2 linked regions of the Nothobranchius furzeri genome follow. The protein of the gene in region 2 interacts with the protein of the main gene of each other region in a pairwise test. Links are inferred from orthologs where the notes say so. Each region holds a gene or a part of one and is shown on either strand. Other genes may lie near its edges.

What was found.
Region 1: the proteins of lmo2 (region 2) and stat1a interact in a two-hybrid assay, tested with the Homo sapiens proteins (2 studies listed by BioGRID and IntAct). The two-hybrid records come from large-scale screens. The link is inferred for Nothobranchius furzeri from reciprocal best matches to the Homo sapiens genes LMO2 and STAT1.

Annotation. Positions count from the first base shown.
Region 1 is NC_091743.1:83,716,511-83,732,652, reverse strand, and holds the end of stat1a (signal transducer and activator of transcription 1a), read right to left. Parts: intron 14,258-16,142; coding exon 14,113-14,257; intron 14,027-14,112; coding exon 13,931-14,026; intron 13,845-13,930; coding exon 13,758-13,844; intron 13,676-13,757; coding exon 13,597-13,675; intron 13,493-13,596; coding exon 13,401-13,492; intron 13,315-13,400; coding exon 13,163-13,314; intron 11,217-13,162; coding exon 11,058-11,216; intron 10,975-11,057; coding exon 10,882-10,974; intron 10,626-10,881; coding exon 10,566-10,625; intron 10,486-10,565; coding exon 10,465-10,485; intron 10,352-10,464; coding exon 10,261-10,351; intron 7,713-10,260; coding exon 7,671-7,712; intron 6,446-7,670; coding exon 6,356-6,445; intron 6,277-6,355; coding exon 6,178-6,276; intron 6,107-6,177; coding exon 5,971-6,106; intron 5,862-5,970; coding exon 5,806-5,861; intron 5,723-5,805; coding exon 5,628-5,722; intron 5,556-5,627; coding exon 5,416-5,555; intron 5,319-5,415; coding exon 5,130-5,318; intron 5,051-5,129; coding exon 4,975-5,050; and 6 more. UniProt on the Homo sapiens protein: Signal transducer and transcription activator that mediates cellular responses to interferons (IFNs), cytokine KITLG/SCF and other cytokines and other growth factors.
Region 2 is NC_091744.1:61,971,962-61,988,748, forward strand, and holds the start of lmo2 (rhombotin-2), read left to right. Parts: upstream 1-12,473; 5' UTR 12,474-12,619; coding exon 12,620-12,660; intron 12,661-16,265; coding exon 16,266-16,481; intron 16,482-16,592; coding exon 16,593-16,787. Other genes in the region: caprin1b (caprin-1b), read right to left, coding at 993-1,075, 1,165-1,403, 1,483-1,569, 1,660-1,722, 1,810-1,974. UniProt on the Homo sapiens protein: Acts with TAL1/SCL to regulate red blood cell development. Also acts with LDB1 to maintain erythroid precursors in an immature state.

The sequences.
Region 1 (16,142 bases), on a different chromosome or scaffold from region 2:
TGGTCCTCTGCACTTTTTTCCGTCCAAAAACAATATTACGCTCCATTAAATGGATTTAGTTGAGCACTAGGACCGAGCCGGAAACCGGTTTCCTATTAGACCCAACCAAAAGCTAATCTATTGGCTCTGCTGATACTTGCTAACATATTATTGGCTGTTGCTGCTGTCACTCCCAAGTTGTAAACAGTCAGAACGTGCTCACGTTGTTTTGCTAATTTGCAGCCGCTAGGAGTCCGAGGGTCCACATGCCGGTATTAAGAGTCACATCGTCAACTAGACGATGTTAAATATCAGAGCTCAGCTCAGCTTCCATTACATAACATTTGAATAAGTGTTCACTTGTGAGACTTTTGGTAATCAGGCACAGCCGGCAACATGTCAAGAAAACGAAAAGTGGATATAAGAGACTTCTTTCAAAGTCAAAACGTAAGTTGGAACATGTGACACCCCTGCATTAACCCTTTGATGCATGAATTATGAAATCTTCAACCATGATTTTTTAAACAATTTTTTTCACTCGTCTTTAGGCGTGAATGAAACAAATTTCAACAAATATTTTTTGTAAAATTTTATAATTTACAAATATTTTATTACATGTCGATCTCAGTGGACAACGTGCATTCTGAGCATGAAATATGTTGGCTTGGCTTACTGAAGTCCAAATGGAGGGGCTCAAATGCAATAAAGTCTTCAACAGCTGTGCTTAATAGCTAAAACAAATAAATAACAATTTTGAGTACCTGTCCACTGTAGTGACCTTTATGCATCAAAGGGTTAAGCTCACTCACCTCCTTCACAAACACTCAAAACTAACTTTTACACTCATCTCCTCCACATAACTGACTCCTCAGACACTATTTATTTGTATTATTATTATTATTGTTATTCTTATTATTATCATTATTATTATCATTATTACTAGTAGTAGTAGTAAAGTGTAACTTCAAAACTTTTATCATTTAACTTTATTGTAAACTTATCTATTGCAATGTATATGTTCACATTATATAATTGTTCTATTCTTGTTAAGTGTCTTAGAACTTAAAGCTCTGAAAAATGATCAGTATCATCATCGTCAACAGAGATTTTTTTAAAGCTTAATGTCAACAATATACACTTTTTCATTAGATTTATCTTATTTTTTCCATTTCTTTTTGTTGTGTTGAAATGTAACAACTGTTTAAACACTTTTAAGGGAAAAAACATATTTAATATGTTTTTATACACTCATATTGGTAATGAATAACTTACACATTATATTAATAATAATTGTGAATCAGACTTGAACCGTCCTGTAAATATTTCTGTTTGTTCCATTCCAAAATTTCCCTCTGTTTATAGTTCATGCATCCTTTTTTCAGGTGACAGACATGGAGGAGGAGGAGGGACTGGTGGAGGTGCAGCAGGAGAGGCTGTAAGAGATGGAGGACGAGAGCCTGGAGGAGATGGAGGCTCACAGGTGAGGTTGAAATAATGAAGATACGATAGACATAACATTGATCTTTGTGACAAATGTTAGGGTGATGATCATGTGTAAAACATTGGTTCAGCATGTGGTATTGAGTTCAAAGCTGTCAAAGTTCATTCGCTTGCATGTACAGGGGACAGAAGCTAATTGGGCAGGTGGAGATGTTGGTGGCAGAGAGGCAGAAGACTCACAGGTGAAGCACTGGCTTGAAACATTGTGATAAAAGCTAATTTAGCTAATTATTTAGCACATTCTTATATTAAGGCTGGTGTACTAAATCTGTGCTGATCAGATGCAGCTGGAGCGCCTTCTGGCGAGGCAGATGGAGATCTTGCAGGACGCCGCTGTCCAGGAGCGACTGCAGGCTCTGGACTGGAGGATCCCCCCCGCTGCCTTAAAGTACCTCAGCGAGGCCCAGAACACCAATGGAGTCACAGCTGACACCAGCAGAGATGGCCATGGTAAACTGATCTTTGACATAAACTGTTCATGATACATAAAAACATGGTTTCTTTAGGCGGAAATTAACAAAAAATAAAAGCTGTTTTCAGCCAATTTATGATTTGTTTCTCAGTTATTTATAAAGAAGGGGCAGGTCTAAATACTCATCCTGCTACCAGCCACTAGGGGGCGTTAAATGCCTTTGTAGTTGTGTTTGTCGCTCTGCTGTTGCCGGTTTCCAATTAGAAGAAACCTTAGAGGGAACTAGCTATCCTGGACCTGAACTTTATTAAACCTGGTGCTTCCCTGAGTTTAACTTACTGATTTCATGTCCTGAGAGCAACAAGAAGTGGTTGAGTGGATTTAAACACTTAAAGGTGTGGTTCACTTGTTTAACCAATACATTTACAGTGGTCTCTAGTAGGAGTTAATCCTGTGTAAGTTGTACTCTGGTTACTAAAAGCCCTGGTGCACCTGTTTGGAATTGGAATCGTTCAAAATCAAACGATGCCCAACCCTAGTCGCCCCGCTCCCACGAACACCCCCCCCCCCCCCTGTTTACGGCAGAGTCGGGCTGCCGTGAGCAGAGGAAAGGGGACGAGACATTTTCTTCTACAGTGCATGCGGGATGCTGATTAATACAACAAATCTACCTCAGACATTAAATCTTCATATTGCATCAGACTGCTGGCCTGAAAGCAGAGCAGACAACACACAGATTCACAGCTGAAGGACGGGGGAGTGGCAATGTCAGCGGCAAGGAACAGGTCACATGTTTAAATTCATCTTCAGAGTTAAAACTATGGAGAGAAAAAAGTCTCAAAAGATTTATGTGTGCGTAACTAAAGATGTGTGTGTATCTAGATTTATGTGTGTGTAACTAAAGATTTGTGTGTGTGTTTGTGTAGAAAGATGTATGCATGTGTAAGTCTTGATTTTTAACTTGTGTTTACATTTTCTTGTGTAACATCAGCTCCTACGCATACAAATCATTGAATACACACACACACACACACACACACACACACACACACACACACACACACACACACACACACACACACACACACACACACACACACACACACACACACACACACACACACACACAAACATCACCTGGTACACACAGACAAAACTACATTACACACAGATTTTGAACGCTTGGTGGAAGCTGAGAAATTAGAATTTCCTTTGGATTTAGTCTAAACTTGTGTTGACGGGACAAATTTGTTTTTCTGTGGAAAAATAGAGTATCTCAGGATCCTGTAGTCATAACAGATAGACCAGCATTTAATATTTAATAATCTAAAAATGTTTATTTAGACATATATGTGTTTATGAGCCATGCAAATGCAGTCAAAGTGTTGTATAAGAAATGGTCACTAGATAAAAAGCAGGTTTCAAACTGGAAGAAGGCATGAAAAGATGGCGCAGTATCCTGGTGACCTTTCCTCAATAAGAATTAAACCTGCCCACTTTGCAGTCTGGTTATAACGAGACCGCTGTTATCTTAGACCGTTTATTTGGTTTTAAAGGTCTGACAGATTGATACACTGTCCCCAGACTAGGAAGCGGCTAACAGGCCAGTTTATGTGTGCGCACAACATCATGTAAACTGCTGCCCCACCGTTATTGCACACACACAAACTGGCCAGAGATGCACTTCCTTGTCTGGTGCATCCATCTACACACACCCTGAGGACCCTCCGTTGACTTCCATTCATTTTTGTGATTTCACCATGCCTAGTCCACACCCCAACCCTAACCATAACCAACGCAGATCTATTCTTAACCTTAACTAAAACTTAATTCACACTATACCTCTAATTGGTACAGTAAGCTTCTGGTATGCTTCTAAAAAAGTGGACCAAAAAAATGTCCTCACTTTGTAGGGAAAATGGTCAAAATGGTCCTCAGTATGTAGTATGTACAATAACACACACACACACACACACACACACAAACACACACACACACACACACACACACACACACACACACACACACACACACACACACACACACAGTTACGTGCTCTGCCCCTTTTCGGCCACAAGATGGCCTCGGTGGCTTCTGCCTCGCCTGTCTCAGCTGTGTGTAATTGGGCAATCATGGGCAGCTGTTAAAGGCTGCCCTCCTGCCCACAGTTCTTAGAGAAGGTCCAGGGTAGTGAAGGCTCGGAAGAGTTTTTGCTGCTCTCTTCTCCTCGCGTGTGTTGGTTAGTCTCGGCTTTAGGTATTCGCTTTGGTATTAGGATTAGATTTTGACTCTCTGGTATCCCCGATCTAGGAACGGCTATTTGACCTTGTTTGTGGACTTTTCCCAGCGTTCCTGCTTAACAGGACATCCCTCCGTTAGCTTGGAGTTTACAGCGATTGTATTTTGGTTAATTAATTCCCCCTCGTGCTCTTAGTTCCCCGTTTGCGTGTATTTCCTTTAGTTTTGTATGTAATAAGACAGTCACTTTGTTTTGCTTTTCTTTCTGTAATTAAAATCCTTGGTTCAGCGACACAGCACTCCGTTATTATTCAACCCACACACCAACTTTATTTCTCCCTCAACAACATCTCTCCTAGCGGGCTGGGGGACGTAACAGCGTGGGGGCTCGTCCGGGAAGGGTCTCGCTGCTTCTGCCATGTTCCTCTTCCAAACACCTGCCGGCTCTCCCTCGCGCTGATCTTACTTGCTCCAGTCTGCGCGCAACGGCGGGCAGGGTTTGGAAGAGTTGTGCGACACAACGAATCGATGACACAATTCGTACACACACACACACACACACACACACAGATCTTTAGAGACTTTTCTCCCCATATAAAACTTGTTACATCAGGAGATCTTTGTTTTTTTTTTTTTTTTAATCTGTTTAATCCGAGAGCTGGAGCAGGAACTCACCACGGCATCCAGGTCTCGAGGACCAACGAGGTGCTCTATTGCCTTGAAGTCATCAGGAGACATGGGCATCATGTTGTCCTGCAGCCTGGAAGGGTGTCTGGACCAGAGCAGAACCAGTCAGAACCTCGGGTTATTCCAACATTAAACAGGTCTGTTTAGTGAAGGCTTACACTTCTGAGACGGATATGAGCTCCGTTTTCATGTAGCCGCTTTTATCCGTGTTCTCCACGTCCATGGGCTCCTGAGCTGGAAGGCGATGAAACTGTGATCAGGATGTGTTTTATTCTGGAGCTGAATGAAACTCAGCAGCAGCTGTGAGGCTTACTCTCTGACGGTTTGGGGTAGTATTTCCCAAAAGCCTTGTCTTTGGGAATGTTGGGGTAGAGGAAGCGCAGAGGGTTTTCTGGGATGTTCTCGGCTGCCATCACCTTGTAGGTGCGGATGATGTCCGGCAAAGACACGGCTGTCAACTCCTTCTTTGTGTACGGCTCTACAGAGTGGTAAACCGGCTTGTCTGGGGGGAGGAGAAACAGGAAGTAGATTGTTTTAGGAACAGGAAGTTTGAGCTCATCGGAGGTGACAGGTATTGTGGCCCCCATAGGAGATGTTACCGTGGACGTCATGCTCGATCCAGGTGAAGGTGATCGCTCCCTCCTTGCTGCTCTCACTGAACCTGAGCAGGAAAGTCCCAGGACACTTATCGCTCAGCAGAGCCTTCTCCCTCTCTTTACTGATGAAGCCCATGATGCAGCTGCACACAACAAACACACCCATCAGTTGGATTCCGTCCTCGAGGAAGCGCTGCGTCATCACGGCAACTCACCCGTCGTTCCACAGGGACAGCAGGTGGCGTTTGATCAGGTCCAGGATTCCTTCGATCCACAGCCAGAAGGGAAACGTCTTCTCGTTGGCTCCTTGCTGCCGAGCAAACGACAAGAACTTCAGGTTCTGCTCCAGCAGCACAGGATGACAGCAGGTGCTGCAGGGCGACTCGGGCTCACCTTACAGAATTTTGTCCAGGGGATGAGTCCTTCTGGATTCCTCTGAGCTTTGGCTCCTGAACAGAAACACGAAAACGTTCAGATATAAAGACTCAAACCCAGGGTAAAAGAAGAGAGCAGAACCAGATCAGACAGGCTGATCCAGGATCTGTTTGTGTGTCTGACCGAGGAGTTTGTCAGCCAGCATGTTGAGCTGCTCCTGGTTCAGTCCTCGCTTGGTGACGGACGAGAACTGCCAGCTTAGAACCTCGGACAGCTGAGACCACTTCGCCGCTGGAGGGTTGAGGAAGAACTTCAGGTTCTGGAGGACAGATGGTTCTGTTAACAGCAGAGCGACACAGGGCTGACGGTGGTAGAAGAACCGGGTCTCACTTTGGGTTCTGTGGTGAGCATGTTGTACCAGAGGATGGAGGCCCAGCCGCTGGGTAGCTGGCACACATTGGAGATGACCACGACGGGCAGAGACACGGCCTGACACACAAACACACACCTCAACACACACGCTCGCTGGAGTTTGGTCTGCAGAAGTTGTGTTCGTGTCTCGTCTCACCTCCAGCAGGATGGTGAGTCCAGAATGGTGCAAATGCAGGTCGGACTCAAAGCTGAGCGAGTGGAGTTCCTCTGTGACGATCAGAGGCGCCTGAACAGAAACACACAAAGGTCCAGACAGGGACGAGGGAGGGATTAATCTCAAACCCGAAGAACTAAATCTGCTTCACTTCAGCAGCTGGACGACGACGAGACGTAGACGTTTGTTGGAGAAATGTTTTGACTCTCCAGATCAAATCAGTTTGTGATGCAAAAATAAAAATAAAAGTTTTTATTTTGTACATCTGTGTTGTCATTAAAGCTGACATTTACATACATATATAATAAACATGAAATCAAAGATACTTTATTAATCCCAGAGGGAAATTAAGAGTTTCAGTACACACAACTCAGAGATCAGACATACATGGGCATAGACACATGACAAGAATTGGTGACTGTGGTCATTTGCAACCTGAGTCGTGCTACCTTAATAGAGAAAAGAGGGTTACATCAGGATTGGTTCAGGTGGAGGGAAAGACAGAGTTGAGTTGCCAGAGCGACGGCACATTCCACATATCTTCTGAGGGGGGAGTTTTCATTGGAGCCTTGCTGACTCAAGGACGCCAGATTCCTATTAGAAATTGTTTTGGGGCCAGACAGAGATAATTTCCTCTCTGTCTTACAGTTTGTTGGTCCTCAACCTCTCAAAATCCCAATAATGGGCATTAATCTATCCCAATCCGTGCTGATTCGTCCACTCTATCCTTGACAGCATCCATCTTTGTGCCAATGAATGAATCTCGGCCAAAGTCCCAAGCTTACGATTCATCTAGACAATTATGTGAGTCTGTGAATTCACAGCGTGGTGCAATCCATCTCTGAGCCCCGGGATCAAGCCAATATTCCTCTACAGCTCATTAATTTTCCGGTAAGCCAGGTAGCCTCCAATGCTGATCAGCAGGAACCCCGACACCAACACCACGAATATCCACACATCTTCAGAGTCCTCCACAGACAGCTGGTCTGTCATGGAGGGGCATCTGGGAGCCCCTTCTCCCGTTCTCATCGTTGAAAAGATTTTATCAATCGCGTTGAGTGACCAACTGACGAGATCCATTTGAGTGAATTTCAGTTTCCAGTTTCCAGAGAAAATGCAGATCAGCCGTACACCCAGCACGCAGAGACAGACAAAGGGCCTTGAGGATAAGTTATGGAGGAGAGGAGGAGAAAAGCATCTGCACCCTCCAAGAGCCGGAAGAATTTGTGACATGTAAGCTGTTCCTGTAATAAATGACCTCTGGAACTGAAATAAAGAGGAGTTTGAAGCCTCATACCTCGTTTGTCCTGTTGCCGGCGGTTTTCTGCTCTTTCAGTTGCTGAATGGAGACAAAAACAGGTCAAATAAGCAACTCTACATCTTTAGTCTCACCCAAAAGGCTGAGAGGCAAAACATAACAAACAAGGAATTTTCAGCTCATCGGGACTATCCCAATCCCATCACAGACGTAGTCTCTTCCACCTGAAACCTTTGGCTCATAAAACCAGACGTCTACATCAGGGTTGTCACAATCCTCAAGTGCTCCTCAATCAAAAATTGAAAATGCACCAGAACACTGAACAGAAGCAGTGGCGCGCCCAGAACATTTCCATAGGGGGGGCCAGTAAATGTTTTGGGGTGCCTCATCAATTCACTTTGAGAGCGTTTAGCCTGTAGCGATGCATTTCAGGCTACTTTATGTATTTTTCATTAAAATACAAAATACATCAAACACACTTACCATCAAATTCGATATTTGAGAAAAGGACACATTTTCCAAGTTATTTTAAATATTGTTTCAAAATGTATTGTTTATCACCTGCTGCCGCCTTAAAAATATTTACATTTTTTTTCAAAATGGTAAATCTAAATCGGACTTGTAATTGCAGCAAACAGCAGAGTTTAGTCTTGCGTCTACAAGCTGCTAATTAGGAATTTGTCTACCTGGCATGTACACAGCACGCTGGGTTTCACAGCCCCGGGTCTGACTCATGAAGAGTAATCCAAAGTATAACAGAAGTAGCTCGGCAAGCCATCCTATATAAGTGAGCATATAGTATGGCCATAACCTATAGACAGAGCTCAGTCGTGGGGCGTGGATATACAGTTCGGGTGTCTTTCAAACTACCTCTGCATGCTATTGGACAACAAACACAGTGATATACTCACCGCTACAGATGCCAAAGCCGTTTCAAATAAGCTGCCGCTATCTCAGTAGTTTCGCTCCATCGCATTATCTCCCCCACTAAACCTATAGAGCGCTGTGATTGGCCCACTAAACCTATACAGCGCTGACAGGCCCACCAAACACTCTATCTCGGGGGATTGAACTATTCTGCCACCTGCTGGCATAATTTGGTAATTATTGTTAGTTTTAAGACATAAGAAGACGAAGAAGAAGAAGAAGAAGAAGAAATCTTTTCTATAGTGCCTCTTAAAGGGACTTTATGGACTTTTGAATTTTTATGCTCGCGACTGCCCCCTCAGGCCAAAAGCGTAACGGCAGCTTCAATAGTAGGCTCGTGCATGAGGCGTGCATGCTGTACGTGCACACTCCTTAACGAAAATAACAGCTGAGACAGTCCCGTGTGTGTGTGTGTGTGTGTGTGTGTGTGTGTGGCCCGGAGGACAGAGGCAGCTAATTAATTAAATAATTTGGTTCTGTACCTTTCTCTTCAGCACAGCCGACAAAGGGTTATGATGGGTCAGTCCTCCTGCATGCTCAGATCATTCCCTTCCCTTGCTTGAAAAATTGTTCCAAAATGAAAGTTGAACCCACATCTTTTTTTATCTGTGAGTTCAATGCCGTTCGGCGAATCTCAAATAAAAATTTGGGCATCTTACTGTAAAAAAAATATACCATTAATGTAAAAAAGAAATTCTAAATATACTATAATCACATACAGAATTGAACCCGGGTCTTCTGCACGAGAGTCTGACGTCTTACTAGGTGAGCTACACTCTAGTAACATTCACTCTATCTGTAACATTTATATCCTTGATGACAGCTGAGGGTTCGGAGCGAAAATGGCTATTTTGTTGCTAATTTGCAGGAAATATCTAGAAGAAAGTTCTACAGGAAGTAGCTAAGGGTCCTCAGAAATGTAGCTAGCTTTGTCACTAGGTGTTAGGAACAGCGACAAAGTCTACTACCTCTCTCTCCGCTGCTAAAGCTACGGATAGCAAATGCTACAGGCGATGCCTGAGCGTGAACGCGCATGAAGCAGCCTGCTCGACCCGAGCATCTCTCTTTTTCTGTGGTTTTACAGAAAAACAGGCAATCACAGTAAAAATGCCAGGCCTCATTCTACAGGACCAGGGCATTGCAGGAGAATGTATGATGAAGACATTTATTATTTCTATACATGTTTTGGCTGTCAAACTTCCTTATAGTCCCTTTAAGATAAAAATCACGAGGTGCTTCACATAAACTAAAAATTTAAAATATAAAAAATAATTTAGAAAATGACTAAAACTATGTTTACAATGAGCAAAAATAGACAATTGTGATAAAAAGTGTAAAGAAAGAGAGGGAGTGAATAGGAGAGAGGGAAAGAGGGAAATCAGGGGATCATGAGGAAGGTGGAATAAGTAGGGAGAGCAGAATAAGGACTGTAAGTAAATATTTAAGAATTTATGCATTCTAAAACAGTTTTGTTATTTTAAATCCATATTTGTTTTCATATTTAGTGTTTTTACTAGTTTTTATATTTAAACTGTGACTTTAATAAATTAAAAGTGATATTAACAGAGCCTGACAGGTTTAGAAATGACACCAGGTGACATTTCTGAGATGTTATCAGATTTATTTATTGCAACACTGCATAATTTTTGTTTGTTTTAGGAGGAAAACGATGATTTTAAACCGAGTTTTACGATAAACTCACTAGATGTCGGAACTCTGCAGCCAGGCTGCCGTTGGACTCCTCTGTGTTCATCACTTTAGTGTTTGTGCCCAAAATGTTGAACCTCCGAAACCTGGTTTTAGACACATAATCACTCAGGGATACATTTAACTTCTCAAGAATAAAAAAAAAAAAAACTTAGTTGGATAGATTTCTTATAAACAAGTCAAAACGTTAGACACTTACCCTTTTTTGTCTGCGACATCCCTAAGGGGAAGAAAACATCCATATTTAGAAATGTATGGGTCTGAAAATGTGGAACGTGTGGAAACAGGAGATGATCTTACTTATCAAAAAGAGCTTTGACTTTGAGTTGGTAGTTAAACTCTTGAAGCTTCACCAGAAACCTGAAGGGGGAAAAACAGGAAACTAATCTCAGAAATGCACGTTTATTAAGGTCAAACCTTTCTGCTTTTGAAACTAACGGGAAAAGAGCAGCTCAGTCAGCGTTCGCTCTCTGCAGCAACTCCAGTTAGCTTTAAGACATGAGTTCTGATGGGCACGTGTTAAAGAGGCCCTTCTCTGGCTTGACTCGTGTAAATATTTGTTTCTCAGCTGAAATTCTGTATGATTCTGTTTTCATGGTTTGGTTTAGTTTCCTACCGGAGTTTCACGGTGAACTGGACGCCTGTTTTCAGCACCATGGGTCTCTGTGGGTGGGTGGGCATGCAGGGCTGTCTCTCTATGACCAGTGAGCTACACACACACACACACACACTCATCAATATTGAATACAGACAACAGCGAGATTGCTAACCGATTTATTTGAGGTTTCCTACCTGGAGAGGAGGGTCTTGAGGAGCTCCAGAGCTCGGCTCTCCAGAAACACTTTCTTCTGAGGGATGGGGTCGTTCTCATACGTGAAATTTTGCTCCAACTCATGCATCTTCTTCAGGTGTTGACGCACCTGCTGGAGACTCTCAGCGACTGCTGTGAACCTGCAGCAGGGTGTTTGAGAGTTGAAGCTCCTCCAAGCCTGATCACTTCCTGCTCTCCAGCATGTTTAACATCTCATCAGTTTCAATGTGAATAAAACTGATCAGATTAATGAGGAGCAATGACTGTTACGACCCAGCTCATAAGGCCGCAACATAAAACAAAAACTGAACACATTCGAGAGCTTTGAGTATTTTTTTTTTTTTTATTAAATGTAGCCTATAACCCTCCCTCTGTCTTTATGGGTGACCCCGCGAGGAAAGTTGGCCAATGAGCAGGATTGATGGTTTATCCCTTGAGGTCCACGTGGCAGGGGTGAGGAGTGAGCACCACCTCACCCCTGCCACGTGGACCTCAAGCATCAAACAGTCATCAAACAGGACAGAGAGGAAGAAAGTCGTAGGCCAGCTATTAACAACTGGTTCACACCATAGGTTCACACACACACACACACACACAAACAGCAAGGGGGAGGGGGGTGTAGAGGAAAAGAGAAAAGGCGGAGAGGAAATGGAGGACACCAAGTGATTAAAAGAAAAACTACGAGGCGCGCCTCGACCGGAGCGGAGAAACAAGCGTCTGGTCGGAACTGAGGAGCAGCGACCGAATTACGTGAGCACTTCGCCTCCCGGCGCTTCGGCGGCCGGTGTGTCCCCGGCGTAACTTAGGCTGGACCTTCTACTGTGGCTCTGAGTAACTTTAGTTACAGTTACTTTAAACAATCAACTGATTTTATAAATATAGACAGGCCCACTGTAACATAATGAAGGTTTAAGCAGCTTTTTAAAGTTTTCACTGAATATTTGTGCTGACTTTCCACAACAGAATGACAGTAAAAGTACCAGTAACGTCTTTAGACGTATTTATGTTTATTTTCCACTAATAACATCTCACTGAGAACAGATCCATACTGTTTTGCAAGTTTTTCTTCTTCTTGATTTCAAATCTCTTATAAAACATGTAGGGAAGACGTGCCTATAGGGTTTAGCCTGCATGCACCTGAAACAACAACCGCAGCAGCTTGTCTGCCAGAATCTTCTTTAGGTAAGGATGAACCTGTCTAATTACTGGGAAAGCTGTTTTTGACCAACACTTGATTGAACTCAACTTCCCGCCCCCTCCAAAAAAAAAGAACACAAGCCTCGGGAGACATCAGTTAAGGCTGAAACTGAAAGGAGACAAACCTGCTAATGTTCTGGACAGAAAACTGACGTATCTGGAGGGGATTTTGATGATTTTACGAACTTTTAAGTTCCAACCGCTGCCAGATGTTGAGGCGACAGTAGTGGCGGCGCCGTGATATCGGCTACCGCAGCGTTTTTCCCCTAGCTGTCTCTGTGACTGTGATTGGTCAAATGGCAACTCGTGACCCACTAACAAAGATGGTTTGTGAAGAGGATGAACACTCCTCATTTTTCTGAAACTGATTCTTATAAAGAGCGACTAAAATCCGACCAGACTCGCCTTCCCTAAAACAAAAACTCTTTGATTCATGTGAACGCATTTTTTTTCATAAGCGGCAATTTTCGCTGAAAAGCGTCAAGTTTGCAAGTATGAGACGAACGTATTTTAAAATCACGTCATACGACCCAAATTTAAGACTTTACTAAATCGATTTAAGACTTTTAAGACTTTTTAAGACCCTGAATCAGGACCACACCAAGCCCCTCTGGTCTGGTCTGGTCACCTTCATTTAAACCCTTCATCTTAATTGACTTGGATTGATATTACCACTAATTTTAGGGATTTGGGGGAAAATTCAGGTTCCATTAGATCCAAAAACTACCATAATCTCCAACCTTGTGTATTATTCTGATACTTCTAGATCCAGATGTCTGTCAGATGTGAACTCCAGCTTGATGCCTTCTCCTGATGTCTCAGATTTCTTGGTAACTCAACAGAAGAAAATAAAGTTTATCTGAAGCTTCTGGGACAACAACGGTCTCACCAGTTCTGCAGCTGGTCCACGCAAGCATTGGGCGGACCGCCAATGCACGCTATCTGCTGCCGCTGCTTCCACTCTGGCAGCTCCTCGGAGATCAGGTCGGTTATCAACCCCTGGATGACATTCAGCAGTTCATTCAGGTACACCACAGCATCCTGGGACACGTGCAAGAAGGCACGGAGTTTTAGAAGGTTTGGACTCAGCTTTCTACTATCATAAAACTGTGGATTAAGAATCTCACGTGGCGTTTGGCTTTCAGTTCAAGGCACATCTTCATGATGACTAACTTCTCTGCCTCCAGCTCCTTTGGCGTCATGCCGTTCACGTCGTTCTCTGCAGGTGATGGACATAACCAGACATCAGCTTCACTCAAACATCAGAACAAGCCACTTCAGTCTAAGTTTCCTTGTTCTTCTGGGTCATCTGCACTTTCCTACCTCTGTTCTTCAGCGTGTTGAATTGGAAATCGTATTCATCCTGCTGGTCCTCCAGATTCTTCAGGTTCTGGTCGATAATCTGAACAAAGGAAACTCTCCTTTAGCTGTGGTAAAGGAACAGCAGAGATTATTTAAATGTGGCTGAAACGTGTTTGTTTCACCTGAACAATGTTTCTCATCTCCTTCACTTTGTTGTCCAGCTTCTGCTTCTCCACCACCATGGCTGAAACCGTCCCCTCCTTCTCCTGCTGCAGAAGCATTGTCAAATTCATGATTAAAGCATCTTTAAATAAAATCTAGATGGATTAAAGCAGAGTCTAGCTGCAGGTCTTACCACAGAATCCTTTGCATTGGCCAAGATCTTCTGCTCCTCTTTCAAGTTTCTGGAGATGATCATGGCCATATGGAGGGCGTCCTCCTGAAACCGATCCTGGAGAAACAAGTGCTCCATGTTTACGCAGTCACTTTCTTAGTTTTAACTCACTCTGACACGAGTAGAGAACGTGGGGCTCTGACCTGCAGGTTCCTCTTGATCTTACGGAAGTTGTGCTGCTGCAGGAAGTTGTTCTCCAGAGCAAAGCGGCTGTGCTGATCATCCAGCTGAGCCAGGAGCTCGTGAAACCGAACAGTTGCCAGGGAGTCCTGTGATGCCACCGTATCCCTAAGAAGATCCAAAACAACAACGGAGTTATCTTACAGAGGTCCCACCACGGTTACGCCAGATGTTGAAGGGCACCGTTCATAAAAGCTTTATTTATAAAACATTTTAAACACCTACAGCACCAAAGTGATGTGTAGAAAAATAATAAAACAGGCTACGTAATAAAAATAGTTACAGCAAAAAGACCTACAAGTAAGGAAAAATAATTATGCAATCAGTCAAGATAAAAATGAAAAGTTTAATAAAAAAAAAAAGAAAAACAATTTAAAGCTAATGCCTTTTGTAGGGTTAGGGTTAAACAAGATGGGGTTGAGGACTGCCTGATGTCCAAGGGAAGGTGGTTCCATAATTCAGGAGCAGTTAAAGCAAAGACATGGTCTCCACTGAACTTACAGTTTCTCCTGCATAGGCGCAGGAGTGGAGCTGCACCACGGCTGAAATTCTAGCACCACATCTACGAGACACCCCCCACAGGAGACGCAGCATTGTAGCATTTTGCGAGCAGAACCCAGGCGACATGACTGGCAACAATTCTAGGGGAAACACTGACTTACGCTTTAGGGCTGCAACAAACGATTATTTGGATAATCGATGAATCGGATGGGGTCTCGACACGATTAATCGGATTACATAGGGACAATTTTAAAAACTGCTAGGGAAACGTTATTTCTCTCCTTCCTTCACTTTATTAAACACAACATTATTAGAAAACAGTTCAATAGCAGAAAAACAACATGCCATCACCTAAATTGTCTTACAAGGTGTATAGGCAGAGACCCTAAGCTACACCTATCTGTGACCTAAAATGCTTGGTCCAAGTTAAACAGCTTAAAGAGCAAGTCAACCCCTACCAGAGTCTAACTCCACTCCCACTTCATGTTTGAAAAATGCAACAAATGCTGTTGCCTGGCAGACCGAGAGGGCGGAGCCGCTAACAAATACACACACACTCAGGCTCACGACAGCATTGTGACATCATAATGTACCAGTTTACATCATAGCATACTTCTTAGCCAATAGCGGTGGCAGATTTAAATTAAAATACAGTGCAGAGTTTTTACCTGACAACGGCACAACACTGCCAGTTTTAGGCAGAATATTTAAATTTGAACTAAGATGCACTGAAGTAGAGCTGCTCGATTATGGCAAAAATAATAATCACGATTATTGTGACTGAAATTGAGATCTCGATTATTTAAGACGATTTTTCTATTTATGTTGATTTTATTTGTTTTTATTCAGTCATAAAATTGCTCAGGGCACAATCAGGACAAAATAAAGTTAAAGTTAAAGTCCCATTAGTTGTCACACACACTGATGTGTGTGCGAAATTTGTTCTCCGCATTTGACCCATCCCCTGGGGGAGCGGTGAGCTGCAGACACAGCCGCGCTCGGGAACAATTTGGTGGTTTAACCCTCCAATCCAACCCTTAATGCTGAGTGTCAAGCAGGGAGGCATTGGGTCCCATTTTTTCAAAGTCTTTGGTATGACCCGACCAGGAATCGAACCCTGATCTCCCAGTCTCAGGGCGGACACTCTACCACTAGACCACTGAGCTGGTGTGTGATAAGAAACAAGATGATCACTAAAATAACTCCTGATTCCCAGTATAAAAAGACCAATATACTTACAGCTCATAGTTTATGACACAAGGGCTATAGACCTTGGTTTAACTCATATAAGTCTAACCAGTACAGACCCAAATACCAATATCTTGCAAATACTGACAGCAAGAATTATACAGTGGCATTTATAACAAATAAATGCAAATAAATTGATGTTCACAAAATGTTGTATAACATTTATTGAGTCGTGTCAAGGTGCTGTAGGAGCGTGCACTAGCACTGTCTCCTCAGAGAGATTAGTTATTGTTTATCAGCGTGA
Region 2 (16,787 bases):
AAAAGGTAGGAATGGTTCGCCAGTATCATGGTGTAGCAGTGGAGATCTGACCAGTGGAACCACAGGCAACAGGGCTGCTGGCCCGCTGCTGAGTCAGCATAAGCCTGCAGCTCTCAACTCTTAAGCTAAAGCAGCAGAAAGCCAGAGGCCAAACTACTGCAAGGCCTGATTCTCACATCATGGTGATGAAGCACTAACAAAACACTTGTTTTTTTTACTTTAACACATTAAGACATGTCATTTGCTCTAGGAACTACTTGACAAAAAAAAAAGATTGCTTTTGTCACGTCTCGCTACCTCATTCAGAAATATCTGACATATTAGCCTGAATGTGATAAAAAGCTTGGTGACAGTGGCCGTGCCATCACCAGCCATCTGATGAACTGCCCTGCCAACTATGTGAACCACCAGCTGGCCGTTCAAATCCAGCCTTCTGGAATAATTACAGTTTTAGATAAAACCATTGTTGCCAGATTGAACCAGCAGTGTTACAGGAACTGAAAATAAACTGCCTCCTCCCTCGTCTGCTTGATTTCACAGAAAATATAGCAAATACTTTCTATTACTTTCTATAACTAATATTGGTTCATATTTGGTTTGCCATTACCCAAAGCTGTAACTTGTCAGTGTTTGACTGTGCAAAGCTAAAGCTTATATTGTTACATATAATTTTTTTTACTCTTTAGGATGAAGAAAAAGGAAATATTTTACTAAATATAAATACAGAAAATAAAACTTCTATTTGCCTAATTGATTCGTGCTGTTTCCTAAAAGGCAGATGCAGTCATAATCTATCAGCAGCCATTTGCCCTGGCACATGTAACAACTGACTGGCCCAGTCTGATGGATGACGGGCACTGAGCCTATGTGAGCAAGATAAGAAAAAATGAAAGCATTCTGCAAATGATGAGTGAGCCACACACTGAATACTGTTTACCTGAAAAACAAGACAATCCGATGAAGCTGATTTCTACATTTTGAAACAGACTTACATGTTGTACCAACCACAGGTTTGTCCTTCCCTTCCAGCAGGTCCCAAAGGTGCACAGATGCTTCTTCATACTGGTCAATCAATCTGCAAGAGCCAAATGAGCAGTCAGAACTCCTTTGCTTAGTATAAAAAAGGCCCATAACATGCTGCATCTCCAGTTAGTCCTGACTAACCTCACGTTCTGATCCCGCTCTGGTCCCACCAACTTGTAGAACTCATCAAAAGCTACGAGGTCTGCATCTGTCAGCAGCGGTGTGCCACCGACTCCCTGCTTCAGGTCCTGCCGTACAGCGTCTTCACCAAGCCGGTCCAGGATAAACTGCAACTCCAGAACAGTCTTAAGCCTCTTCTGCTCTGACTCTTCTCGTTGCAGCTGCTCCCGCCTTGCAAACTTCTTCCCTACTTTCTGCATCTGAACATAATGTATAATTAGTCAAATTGGAAAAGAGTTGGGATGGATGCAGCTCAGAATACAAAAACATCATCCTTACATCCTGCCCCAAAGTAATAAATGTCTTATGAAGCTCTCGGGCAAATTCCAGGTTGTTCATGACTTCCTGGTATTTGGAGAGGGCCTCCTAAAAAGAAAAAGGAGAAATAACAGCTAGTTAACATGTTATAAATCAACATTAGTCTTCAACAAATGATAAACCTTTTGTGTAACCCACCAGCTGGTCCTGGTTCAGACCCTCTCCTTTATTCTTCCTGACTTTATAATCATCCAGTTTGCTCTTTAATAAAACATAAAAACTTAGTGAGTTTTACATTTTCACACTTGTGACTGAAAGCTTGAACCAAAGACTTTAAAACATCCTCACCTTTTTCTTCTCCATGTTGCGGACTTTCTTGTCAATGACACACAGCACTTGCTTGAGGACTTCTGACTGTCCACCAAGTCCAAAACCGCCCATTGACCCGGGAGCGGATCCCACTTCTGGACTGGCAGATTGCACTGTCATATTTGCATTCATCGCTGAGGGCATCTTAAAAAAGAAAGTGAAAATAAGTCATTTGGTATCCATGACAACAGATCTTATTAATATTATAGGCATGGCTTAATATCTAAGAGTACAATATACAGAATTACAAAAGGCCATGATCACATTTTACATTTATGTCAGCCACGGGTTTAAAAACCAACCAGATGCCTCTTAGAACTGTAGTCTCCATAAAAAAATGTGCTACCCGTTTCATTTTCGCCTGAATAGTCATCAATGTAAAAGTCTCTTTAAATTTAGGGGAATGTGTTTTATGTTTTTACTTCAACATCAATCAGTAATAAGGCAAAATTGTTTTAAAAAAATCACAGGTTTAAAGGCAAATTGTTATCAACTGGGCGTTCGAAAAAGTACTTTGGTGGCAAAAGCAGCATTACTCATACAGCTACGAATACTGGTTATTTTACTGTTAATTAAATCTAAATAAACATTAACACTTGAGTGTGTAGTTTCCCAACACAAGCGTGACAATCACCCAATATCCGTAGCTACCGTTTAAAGTTTAATCTCATGTCGTATAGAAATAATAATTTTGATTGGAAGGAGTCATAAAGATGTAACTAACGATAACGCATGATTGTATCCCTCTACGGTGTAGTCAGTTCACGGCATTTTCTTAGTAAACTAGCCATGGCCGCTCCGCCGTTAGCAGAGTTAGCATCGCGGCGCACTGTTAGCTTGTTCGTCTGATAGCAATAACTGAAGCGTGCTGACCACCAACCGGCCCGGAGCCTCGTTTTCTCGACATTCCGACTTCTTATTCACCCACCTTGCTGATATATATCCACTGGGGAACTTGTTAACTTAATTTACAAAAAGAAAGGCCAAGTTGTAATTGTTGTTGTGTTGCTTTATTTTCTCTTTTACTCTAGTGTGGGATCCGCCCGGCCGGCCTCACCGACAACTGAGACAGTTCGAAAGGCTGAGAAACTCTTTATAAAGGCGGAGGTTCGTTGTTAGCTGTTTCAAATGCGCCGGATTAAAAACGTGAAACAGATAATCGTTTAAAAAGATCATTTTACTACTAAGATATTTACATTCAATTAACAGACAAATATAAAACTTATTTACCAAGACAAGTTATTTAATTGGATGTAAACCTTTAACGGCTTACATTTGTGATCAGGCAAACGTGTCTACGACCTCGTCCCAAAAAATCTGCACAAGCATTAGCTTTGATTAGGATGTTTTGTGTACATTATTTTACAGCAGTACTTTCTTCAAACGCTGCATAGGTCATGAAACCATCGCATGAAACAAGTCAGAATGGCAACACAAGACTATTTTTATATAAAATACATTTAATGAGTTTAAATATCTAAGTCTGAGGTGATTGTCAGTAGGATTATTAAAATTTGTGGATTTATTGTAAATTGACTTGTAGTGAAAACACCACCACCACCACCACTACCACCATCACCAACAACAACAACAACATAATACTACTACTACTACTACTACTAATAATAATAATAATAATAATAATAATATGGAGCAATGTTTGGGAAAAACAGAAAAACCACAATGAGACAGCACAATGGATCAAAGAAGAAGCAGGAAGATTGAAGAGACGACCAGTACAGGAGTGGACAAACATCAGCAAGACAGAAGTAATACTGGCACTAAAGAAAGCAAATAATTGGAAGTCACCTGGAGAAGACAAAGTACATAACTTCTGGCTTAAACATCTTGAAGTCATACATGAAGATCTTGCAAGAGAATACACAGAAATTATTAAAACACCAATAAAGAGCCCAACCTGGCTAACACAGGGTCTAACATATCTGCTACCCAAGACCAATGACACAAAAAACCCTAAGAATTACAGACCAATCAAATGCTTACCAACGATGTACAAGATTCTCACAAGTATTATCACAGAGAGAACATACACCTTCCTCGACAACAACAACATGCTACCACCAGAACAAAAAGGCTGTAAGAGAGGTAGTTATGGAAGCAAAGACCAACTCCTGATCAACAAGATGGTACTGGAAGACAGCAAGGGAAAGAAGAAAAACCTGAGTACAGCATGGATAGACTACAGGAAAGCCTTCGACAGAGTACCACACTCATGGATCATCAAAGTAATGGAACTTCATAGAATCTCACCAACTCTCATTACCTTCATGAAGACAAGTATGGAATCATGGAGGACCACTATGATGCTCACTTATGACAAAAGATCCATCAAGACAAGACCAATAAAAGTGAGGTGTGGTATCTTTCAAGGAGACTCACTATTACCTCTCCTTTTCTGTCTATGTCTAGCCCCACTCAGCACCATGCTAAACAACAGTGAACATGGCTATGAGGTTCAAGGCAAGAAGATCAACCACCTTTTTCACATGGATGATCTGAAGACCTATGCCAAAAATGATAACCAACAAGAGGGACTACTGCAAATAGTCAAGCTCTTCAGTGATGACATCTGCATGCAATTTGGACTTGACAAATGTGCAAAGGCTACATTCAAAAAAGGAAAACTCACATCAACATCAAACATACAATTGGACCAAGAGACTGTCATAATGGAGCTCAATCAAGAGGATACATACAAATATCTTGGGGTTAATGAAGGAGATGGAATACAACATGCTACCATGAAAGAAAAAGTAAAAAAATAGTACTACAGAAGAGTTAGACTTGTTATCAAGAGTGAACTCAATGCTGCAAATAAGATCAAAGCCATCAACATTTTAGCTGTTCCAACGGTTACATACAGTTTTAATATCATCAACTGGCAACTTAAAGAAGTAAAGAAACTAGACACCAAGACCAGAAAATTGCTGACTTCTGAAAGAATGCACCACCCAAAAGCGGATGTTGAAAGAATGTATCTACCAAGACAGATTGGAGGCAGAGGACTTGCACAACTTGAGATGGCTTACAAAACAACAACAATGGCATTGAAAACCTACCTTGAAACAACAGACGATGCCCTACTGATCCTCGTTTGTCAACATGAAGCTCGAAAGAAGCTGTACTCTGTTACAAAAGAAGCTATAAGATATGCACAGGAACTAAACATCCCAGAGGTGGCAAGAATAGAGAAAGAAACAGTGACAAGCTTTGCCAAGAGGACCAGAAGGGAGGCAAAGAAATGGGCACAAAAAAGGATGAGAGAAACATGGGAGGAAAAACCAATGCATGGACAATACCCCTTGAGAGTAAAAAAAGCTGATGTAGAACAAGATCATACTCATCAGTGGCTACGCAGTGCAGGACTGAAGGCAGAAACTGAAGGATTGTTGATAGCAGCACAAGACCAGAGCCTGTCAACAAGATCATATCACCACAAGATCATTAAAGATGGAACAGACCCCATGTGTAGAATGTGCAGCCAATATGAAGAAACCATTGACCACATTGTCTCAGGCTGCCCCACTCTAGCCAGAACTGAGTACATCCACAGACACGACAGGGCAGCAAGCTACAGGTGCTGGCCAGTAAATTAGAATATCATCAAAAGGTTGAAAATATTTCAGTAATTCCATTCAAAACGTGAAACTTGTACATTATATTCATGCAATGCACACAGACCAATGTATTTCCAATGTTCATTACATTTAAATTTGATATTCATAAGTGACAACTAATGAAAACTCCAAATTTGGTATCTCAAAAAATTAGAATATTCTGAAAAGGCTGAATATAGAAGACACCTGCTGCCACTCTAATCAGCTGATTTACTCAAAACACCTGCAAAGGCCTTTAAAAGGTCCCTCAGTCTTGTTTTGAAGGCCCCACAATCATGGGGAAGACTTCTGACTTAACAGCTGTCCAAAAGACAATCATTGACACCTTGCACAAGGAGGGCAAGACACAAAAGGTGATTGCTAAAGAAGCTGGCTGTTCGCAGAGCTCTGTGTCCAAGCACATTAACAGACAGGCGAAGGGACGGAAAAAATGTGGTAGAAAAAAGTGTACAAGCTCTAGGGATAACCGCACCCTGCAGAGAATTGTGACGACAAACCCATTCAAAAATGTGGGGGAGATCCACAAAGAGTGGACTGCAGCTGGAGTCAGCGCTTCAAGAACCACCACGAGGAGACTCATGAAAGACATGGGATTCAGGTGTCGCATTCCGTGTGTCAAGCCACTCTTGAACAAGAAACAGCGCAAGAAGCGTCTCGCCTGGGCCAAGGACAAAAAGGACTGGACTGATGCTGAGTGGTCCAAAGTTATGTTTTCTGATGAAAGCAAGTTCTGCATTTCCTTTGGAAATCAAGGACCCAGAGTCTGGAGGAAGAGCGGAGAAGCACAGAATCCACGTTGCATGACGTCCAGTGTAAAGTTTCCACCGTCAGTGATGGTGTGGGGTGCCATGTCATCTGCCGGTGTTGGCCCACTCTGTTTCCTGAGTTCCAGGGTCAATGCAGCCGTCTACCAGGAGGTTTTAGAGCACTTCATGCTTCCTGCTGCTGACCAACTTTATGGGGATGCAGACTTCACCTTTCAACAGGACTTGGCACCTGCACACAGTGCCAAAACCACCAGCACCTGGTTCAAGGACCATGGTATCCCTGTCCTTGATTGGCCAGCAAACTCGCCTGACCTTAACCCCATAGAAAATCTATGGGGTATTGTGAAGCGGAGGATGCAATACGCTAGACCCAACAATGCAGAGGAGCTGAAGACGACTATCAGAGCAACCTGGGCTCTCATAACACCTGAGCAGTGCCACAGACTGATCGAGTCCATGCCACGCCGCATTACTGCAGTTATTGAGGCAAAAGGAGCCCCGACTAAGTATTGAGTGCTATACATGCACATTCTTTTCATGTTCATTCTTTTCAGTTGGCCAACATTAGAGAAACAAACATTTTTTCATTGGCCTTTAGAATATTCTAATTTTCTGAGATACCAGATTTGATGTTTTCATTGGTTGTCACCTATAAATATCAAAATTAAACGTAATAAACATCGGAAATACATTGGTCTGTGTGCATTGCATGAATATAATGTACAAGTTTCACGTTTTGAATGGAATTACTGAAATATTTTCAACCTTTTGATGATATTCTAATTTACTGGCCAGCACCTGTATATCCACTGGAAGATTTGCAAACATTTCCATCTACCAGCTGCAGATAAGTGGTATGAACACCAACCACCAACAGTGACTGAAAACAACAACATCGCAGTGTTGTGGGACATGCCAATCAACACAGACAGAGAAATCATGGCCAACAGACCAGACATAGTCATCAAAAACAAAGAAGAGAAGACCTGCCTCATGATTGATATGACCATCCCATCTGAAAAAAATGTCACCACCAAGGAGCTTGAAAAGCTATCAAAGTACAAGGACCTGGAAATAGAAGTCACAAGAATGTGGGGGATGAAGACAACAACAATACCCGTCGTAGTGGGTGCACTTGGCCTCATCAAGAAGGGACTGGAAAAGAGAACAAAACAGATTCCTGGAAACCCAACAGTCCAAGAAATCCAGAAGATTGTTCTTCTCGGAAGTGCCCACATCATCAGAAGGACGCTTTCCATAAACTAACCCTGAAACTGCCTTAGAAGCATGGATTGATTCTGGCACTTCAGTGAAAGCATACAAATATACAAAAAAATATATATAATAATAATAATAATAATAATAATAATAATAATAATAATAATAATAATAATAATAATAATAATAATATTCATTCAGATATAATTACGTTATTTCTGCAAATACATTTTTTTCATTTCCACACTGTTAAAAAACTCAACGCGCTACTAAATCAATCTTCAGGAGCTCAGGGCTGCAAAGTGAACCTGTCATTATACTAGTAAAAAAAGTGCTGAGTAAAACTAAATGTAAACTTTATAGATGTATTTGAAATATTCGTGGTTAAGTGTGAAAACATTGATATGATGCTGAAACATTCATTTAAGCTGTATTAAATTGTTTTAGGAATTTAAGGGTTTTTAAAACCCTTTAAATGCTAATTTATTTATCCCTACCCACACAGTTAGTTAAATAGACACAAGGTAAAAAGTGTAACATGTGTAGTATTGGGGTAATTTGAGAAGTTTGTATGTCCAGGATTCATAAGTTTCCAGTTTGTAACAGGATCAGATGGGTTTTACTTTTTACTGCCACATGTGCGAGAATCACAACATTAGGAAATTGCTGCGGTACTTGGTGCAAGAAAAAAATAAATGAAAAACAAAATTAGAATTAAGAAATAAACGCAATGAAATGATAATAAGGTAGGAAATCAATAATTAGAAAAGCAGCTACTTTACAAGTCAGTGTAGATACTGGTCAGAGCAGGTCAGTTCAGGTGCAAACCTGGTGCAAACACTGACTGGTCATGTGACTGAAACAAAGCTGCTGGAGTGGGCAGGTCTACGATTGTCATTCATGAGTCCCGGAAGGGAAGAAACAGATTTGCGGCGAGAGGTTCTGGTCCGAATGGATTGTAACCTCCTACCAGATGGGAGCAAGTCGAAGAGACCACCTCAATGTCCTGGAGGTGTACAAGTGCTGCATGGAGAGGAGTTTTCGTTTGCAGCCACTGACCTTCTCAGCAGAGCGCAAAACATGCTGCAGCCTTTTCATGTCACTGATGGTGGCTCCTAGCCTAGTGAACTAGACCAAATTCTTGCTTTGCAAAGTTTGTTTAAATAATACATTTATTTAGTCTGGCTTGCCAGGCTAGGTGGCTTCATCAGTGACATGAAAAGTGACATATATATATATATATATATATATATATATATATATATATATATATATATATATATAATGGTTTGCTACTTAATCCAGTAGGTGGCAGTAAAGACTCACAATAACATAAACAGAAAGAGACCATGACCTGCAGTGCAAACATCATAGATCATAGTGCCAATTAATAATAAAATTCATGTTATAAATAAATAAAAATAAATACATGTTATAATAATAATTATAATTATAATTATTATAATAATAATTATTATTATAAAGCCATTGATACTGAATGTTGTGTATTATTAATTTGCAAACATCCCAGGAATATCAGGAAGGTTTGAGTCAATCTTACTTAGTTCAAATTTTATTTTAACAACAGTGTAGGTCTGGCTGCTCATTTGAAAGCGTGTGCAATCTGCTCTCCTTTGTTTTGCTAAACGCAGGAAGCCACTTACATGGTCATGCAGCTATTTGATTGCACTATCCCACTGCAAGTGTTTTCTTTTAACCCTCTCAGGCTCAAAATAAGTTTTGATAAAAGGATGAACAACTAAGTCCTTCAGGGGTACTTCTGAGTTACAAAATGCTCATGAAATACGTATGTGGAGTAACCAGGTAGGTAGGTTTTAACGTTGCAAATCTGCAACGCCTGCCTCCAGTGGGTTAAGGATAATACTGATTATGGGAGGATCCCAAGGCCAAGAGAAGCTCTGCTTTAGCGAGCGACTCATTTCCTGCAGGCTGCTGCATTTCACTCCAGCAACAATTGAGCAGATTCCAGGCTGGGTCCTCGTCTGACCTCTGACCTTCACTACCAGCCTTTTGAGGTTCAGACTAAGATTAAACACAGGCTTTTGGGGAACAAGTGAACATTTTTCAAACTTTTGGCATTCAGGATTGCGTGTGACACAGCAACACTTTTAGATGGACAGGAAGTGGTTGGGGATAATGATTCAGAGAAACAGAAAGTCAACATGAAGCTAAATTATTGCAAGTTAGCCTCTAAAAAGTTAATAACATGTCTCCAATCCTTAAATCATTTTAGAAGATTCTTTTTAACTGGGCTTTGATTATTATTACATTTAAAATTCATAAAGCCGATAACCTTAATAATTGAGTTATTCTGTTTGCTCAGCGATGGCGATTATAGCTTCCCTCAGATTTCACATTGCTCTTGACCCCGTAATGCTGTCAGTACGAAACAAAACAGGAAGCTAGACAAGAGTGGCACTTTTTCCTATAGAGCTGGTCACATTTTTAACTATTTGCTTTCCCACCAGAACTCAAGCCCTTATTCATGGAGTGTGAAAAGCCTTTCATCAAGGTGTAAAAGTTAACATATTGTAAGGTTCACATCCTTTCTGGTGGTGTTTAAGCTTTTACACACAGAACAGAATCTCATCAATAAAATACATCAAGCTGAAGTTTTGCACTCATGCTATATGAGCGATGTCGTGCCTATCTCACAGCAGCATCTGGACTCAGCCCGTCTATCTGTGATGTACCATCATGCATGATGGGGTTAGGAAGTGTGCAACCCTACACCCCTTAAAATAATAAAAACATAATTTCTGCATGTCAGCTGCACATCCTCTCAGCTTTTAGAAGTCATCTCCACAGGAAGCTGATCACTTGTGTCATGTTAACTGTCTCTTCTTCCTCCTTTCTGCTGTCAGCTTATTTTAGTTATTCCCTGCAGCATATGGGTTAAGATGTGACAGTTTTCTGTTTTAGGGCTCTGCTTTGCAAAGACAGCAGATAAAACTGTATTGTTTTTTCCTCTAAGGGATTTGCAGTTTGAGTTTTATCCCTGCAAAGCTGTTCTGGTTTCTGTGTATAGCTGGCACGCTGCAGAGCCAGCCTCCTCACCTTGCTCCTGGGCCTTTTCAGCTCGGTGTGTGTCCAGTGAGTCCAACAGCTCAGGGAAGCATTTAACCTACATCTACACTGTAAAAAAAGACAGCCTCAAAAAGTTATTTCAATTACTTTTTCCTATTTCACCTAAGTCTCCCTGTTAAGTTTTAATTGTTAAACTCAATTTTGTGTGTTTTAATATTGAAAACTTAAAATTGCTTGTTGTTCAACAAATGCTTATATTTTCCTCATTCTCATGCGTTCAGTCAACTTAAAACTGCAATTTAGAGATTTAAAAAGAGCAACGTGTTCCTGTGGTGTCCGTGAGGGCGCACGGGGTTGGTTAGGGTCCCTCCTACGTCCGTCACTGCGGTGGGTGGGGTTTGAACGGGTGCGCTTTACCGACTTCCGGGGAGGTTTGTTACCAGAAGGCAAGACGAACGGTTCTCTACAGGGACTTGGCTCTCATCGTTCACTTTGAAAACCCGTTCAAAACATTCAATTAGTTTGTGAACGTCACATAACTACTGCTTCACCGATTGCCTGTATTGGCATGACAGCTGCCGTTTTGATAACACAAGTTCAAACAATTAATCCATTTGTTCAGTTAATAAAAACTTTTAATTTAAATGGACAACCATACATGTCTAACTCAAGTTTATAAGTTAACATAATGTAGAATTGTGTGTATGTTTAACAAGACAAAATGATTTTTCCACTTTGTAATCTAATAAGATTTGTTGTTTCGACTCATAATATAATATTCAAACAAAGTTATTATTTATGATATTTGTAAAACTTGACATATAGAGTTGAAAGTTTTCATTTAAGTTGACATGACTCAAGTTTTTAAGGCAGCTGTTGAACTTTCGTTTTTAAGTTATTCTGTCCTACAATTTATTACAGTGTACAGTTTGCTTCTGATCTTCATGCACTGTTTCTGACTGCTGGAACTAAAGCGCTTTATCTGTCCTCACAGTCCAACTGATGTGTGTGTCCCTCCCTCTTTTACCCTGCAGCTCTGGCACTAGATAAGACATGTCCACTGGCGCTTTGGTTTGAAAAGGAAAGTGTGCCAAAAACGACAAGAAATACATTTTATTATAGGGGTAAAAGATTAGTATATATATTTTTTTAATAAATCATATTTTTCATTCTAGAACGTTCTATAGTCATTCTAGACTCGTTAAGCTTTGCTGGCAAATTTCTGAAGAGAAAAATGTAAAAATCAGAACTTTAAATTTCACACATTATCTTTGAAGGGTAATGTTCCTCTTCACAGCGTCTGCGTAAATGTACGAGGTGTGCACATTATTTAAATTTGAACATTACATTTCCTTATTTAAAGCAGAAATTCAGCACATCTGTTTAATGTTGAGGAATGTGGCACAAAAATGCAGCACAAGCTCAATTTGAGATGATTCTAAATTTTCTTTATTCATTTATTTGCAAAACAGCAGGCCACATATTCTAGAACAAAACATAAGAATATATTTTTATTTGCCTTTGACATGAACAGTTTAGATGTTTTACTTGCATTAATTACAGACAAAGCAAAGGAAGACATGATGGGCAGATAAAACTACCAGCAGGTGTTTTTATCAGCTCAGCTCCTGCAGCAGATGGACTCATTAGTCAGTCACGACCATCACGACCCTCTGCACGACTCACAGACCAGCAGCTCTGCTGTCGCTTTAAGACCCGTTTCCCCTCATTGTGAAGCGCTGAAACAGGAAGAGAGAAGCGAAAGCAAAGCCCGAAGGGCCCCAATGTATTTAAACGCGCTGCTGCTGCAGCTGCTGGCCACTCGGACACGCACTACTTCCTCCCCGCAGAACCCTCCTTATCGAACCGCACTGGCGCGGTTCTTCTAGTCGCTGTGGGACCTGCAAGGCATGGAAGTGTTGCTGCCTCAGGAAATGATGACAGCGTCCTCCTCCATCGGCGTCTAGCTGATTAGAGAGGGAGCTGTTCTTGTTCTGCATCTGTTGGAAACAAGGGAGCTGCTTCTTGAGTTCGCTTTTTATTTCCAGCGATCTGAAAGTGGTTTTTACCAGGGGTGCAGGTGCAGCGCGCCTTCCAGTATCCAGATCAGGCTCGAGAATGACTTCTACCATAGAGAGGAAAACACTGGAAGCAAACGAGTAAGTCAACTAAAATAAACACATTCTATCAGAAAACTATCCCACGTGCAAGACGATGAGATCAGATGTTTCTGCTTATAATATTCATAAAGAAAATTTAAGGAAAAATTAAAGAAACGGATGTAAGGTAAAACTAAACTAAACTACATGTTTAGAGTCAGATGTTGCAGCCATAATGGGAACAGGAGTTGTAACATAAGTGTATTAAGGCACACTGTAAAGGCGTTGGACCAAGGTTGAAACTCGCTTTACACTGGGAATGCTGGCCAGAGCATTACTTAAAGCCCCTCAGAATATAAAGAAGATGAGTCATAATTGTAGTTGTGCGCCTGGCTTCTTTATTATAGCCCATAGGTTAGGACAAGTAAATCAGGATAGCAGTTGATAGACATGATAGCTCATGGGTGTGGTTTTCCTGCAGAATGACAAATATGACGTATGTATAACTTAACCTTATTAAACAATTAACACACATCAGAATATTAACCTTCCGCCACCACATCATCAGTTAATAACCATACTAAACAGTCAGAGGTCACTAAATCATCATCATCTGCTCACATAAAGCCACTATATTAAGGTTTGTCAAGTTAACCTTGACGTCGTCGGTCAACTTCCGGTCTGTAAACAAAAGAGTGCTTTTATTTTCCCGACTGGGTACTTCCGGTGGCGGGTTAGCTTAGCTCAGATACTCTGAACCAACTCCCATTCCCGCACTGTAACAACACCGCTGTACTTCTCTACATTCCCGTATACTCATACAAAGCACATTCATGCCTCCTCGTACGACACCAGCAGACCAGCGCCGATCGGTCCCGAGGGAAGGTATATCAACAGCGTTTTCACAGGGACAGGAAATGCATAATAATTAACTCGATAGCCATAATCAGTCCAACATTGCACTTACTGTTCATCCACGCACACACTCGACCATGTCCCGGTGCTATCCCCCAGGCAGCAACATATCGCAGAGAGGAACCCGGGACACAAACTAGAGCTACGTAAACCTCGAGAGATATGAACCTAAAGCCATTTTATCTCTATCTCTAGCTGGACTTCTGGAGCAGACTTCCGGCCAACTACAAAATAAGCGTAACAAAGGGAATGTTTTCCCAAAATGCAAGACTTTGAGGGCTTTTCTACAATAAGCCAAGATCAAAAATCCATTCATTTTTGTCTGCTTATCTTGGGTCAGGTCATGGGGGGTAGCAGCCCAACTAGAAAGTCCCAGACTTCCCTTTCTCCTGCCATTTGGGCCAGCTCTTCATGAGGAAGCCCAAGGTGTTTCCTGGCCAGACGAGAAACATAGTCCCTCCAGCGTGTCTTGGGTCTTCCTGTCTTGTAGTTGGATTTACCCAGAAAGCCTCACCAGGGAGGTGTCCAGGAGGCATCCTAACTAGATGCCTGAGCCACATCAACTGGATCCTCTTGATGTAGAGAAGCAGCGGATCTACTCCAAGCCCCTCCTGGATGACCGAGCTGCTCACCCCATCTCTAAAGACACCCTGCAGAGAAAACTAAATTCGGCTGCATGTATTCACAATCTCATACCCAGAGCTAGTGACCATAGGTGAGGGTTGGAACATAGATTGACCGGTAAATTGAGACGCTCAGCTTCCGGCTCAGCTCTCTCTTCACCACAACAGACCAGTACAACGCCCACGTCACAGCAGACGCAGCACCAGTCCACCTATTGATCTTGTCCTCCATCTTTCCCTCACTCATGAACAAGACCCTGAGACATGTAAACTCCTCCACTTTAAGCAGGACCTTGTCCCTGACCTGGAGAAGGCATTTACCTTTTTCCGGCTGAAGATCAACTGTTAAAAGATAGAAAAGAAATATTAAATATTACTTGCATATTTTAAAATAAATGTTTCAAAAGTTCTGGAAAAACATCTTCGTTGTTTGATCCGATCAAGTGTTTCAAGAATCCTTTTCACATTTTTAGTAGTAGCAACATATTATTTTTCATTTTTTTAAAGAAAATTCCTAAACAATATTCCTGATAGGTGTGTATGAGTCATATCTTACATCCTTTACTAACTCAGGACCAGTGGTGCTGCAAGATTGTCATGGGGTTCCAAGCAAACACTGCAGACTGGAAAGTGTGCTGCAGTTTATTTGAGCGTGGGAGTGGGGGGTGCACAGACAGAAATGTGTGGCAGAGCAGTGAGGGGGAGGAGGAGTGCCCTGTTGGGTAGTGTGAGACAGCCCAAGTTATGTCAAATTACAGCTTTTCACAGTCCCATAGAGCTCCGGGAGTTGACGTCACATCTCCCGGCATGCAACAGTTCAAATCGAAACGGCGCCATATTGGCATGCAGAAGCCGGCAGCTGGACTATTTGTTATTGTCAGAAAATTCAATCAAACGGGAAATATGGTAGATTCCTGTTGTGCCCCAGGATGCAGAACAGACGCGGACGACATAAGGAATGAGTCATCTACAGGATTCCCCAAGTTCCGGAGCGCCGCAAACGTTGGATCATTGTAATAAAACACGTTAGTGACCGGGATAAAATGAAGCTGTGGGATCCCGAGAGTAAAGGTTTTCGCTTATGCAGCGACCGCTTCATATCAGGTACTTAAACAACGTGTCCTCAACTGTGTATGGTATTTATTTTAAATGCTTTTATTACGATTCTTAGTGGGCTTCCTAAACTTATTTTGGCGTGGCTTTTTCTGTCTTATTACTCATAGCAACAAGTGAACATCACGTAAAACGTTGCCTCGTGAGTTCTGCGTGCTGCCGTTTACGTGTTTTATGATCACAGCAGTTAACCGGCTAAGCTGTATTTAATTTTTAAGCAGTGGTTGATCAATTGTCAGATCACACATAAAAAGCACTTTGGATTGCTATTATCTGTCTCACCGAGACTACTTGCGTGTGAATCTGTTATTTGTCCGTCCATCCATCCATTTTCATCCGCGTATCCGGAGTCGGGTTGCGGGGGCAGTAGCGTGACTTCCCTCTCCCCAGCTGCCGGAGCCAGCTCCTCCGGGTAAATCCCAAGGGGTTCCCCGGTCAGGTCTGGTGTTGTGCCGGTAACAAGCCTGCTCCGACAGCTTCTGGCGTCGGAGCGGGCAGTAGAGTTGAGAGTCCCAGACCTCTCCCCAGCTCCTCCGGCCGGGTAAATCCCAAGGGGTTCCCTGGTCAGGTCCGGTGTTGTGCCGATAAGAAGTCCGCTCCGACAGCTTCTGGCATTTTTAAAAAGTATCCCAGGGGCACGGTAAGGGTCGGAGATGTTTAGTCTATTTAATTTCTGACTATATAAAACGATTTCTTCTGTTTTTAAGTGTGACGTAAACTCAGACGAAGTAAAATCCAAGCGGATCCCGTTCATGTTCATGGTTACATCCGTGTTTGTTTACCTTTTTTGCATGCCAAAATGGCGTCCACTAACTGAGAGTCACGTGGGGTCCGGAGCTCTATTGCTGTTGTAGTTCAGACTTCAGTGTTTTTCAGCCCTCTTGGGCCCCCTTGTGGCCTGGGGGCTCCAAGCAATTGCCTGCCCTTCCTGTCGACAAGCAGCGCCTCTACTCAGGACAGTTGCTGCTGTCGCAGGCAGATATTAAATGTTTGGGTTGTGTTTTTGTTGTACAGGGAGCCTGTTGACGAGGTCCTCCAGATGCCACCAGCCCTGCTGACCTGTGGTGGGTGTCAGCAGAGCATTGGTGACAGATTCTTCCTAAAGGCAATCGAGCAGTACTGGCATGAGGACTGCCTGAGCTGTGATCTGTGTGGCTGCCGGCTGGGTGAGGTGGGCCGTCGGCTCTACTACAAACTGGGTAGAAAGCTGTGTCGACGGGATTATCTCAGGTTGGTCTGATGTAACGTCAGGATTTTAATGTTTCATCCTGTATGGAGGGAACTTAAACGGTAAAGGTGGTTTTGTTCCTCTAACGTTCTGGTTCTGTCTGATGCACCCAGGCTCTTTGGCCAGGACGGTCTCTGTGCTTCCTGTGAGAAGAGGATCCGGGCCTTTGAGATGACGATGCGTGTGCGGGACAAGGTGTACCACCTGGAGTGCTTCAAATGTGCTGCTTGCCAGAAGCACTTCTGTGTGGGCGATCGCTACCTCCTCCTCAACTCGGACATCGTGTGCGAGCAGGACATCTTTGAGTG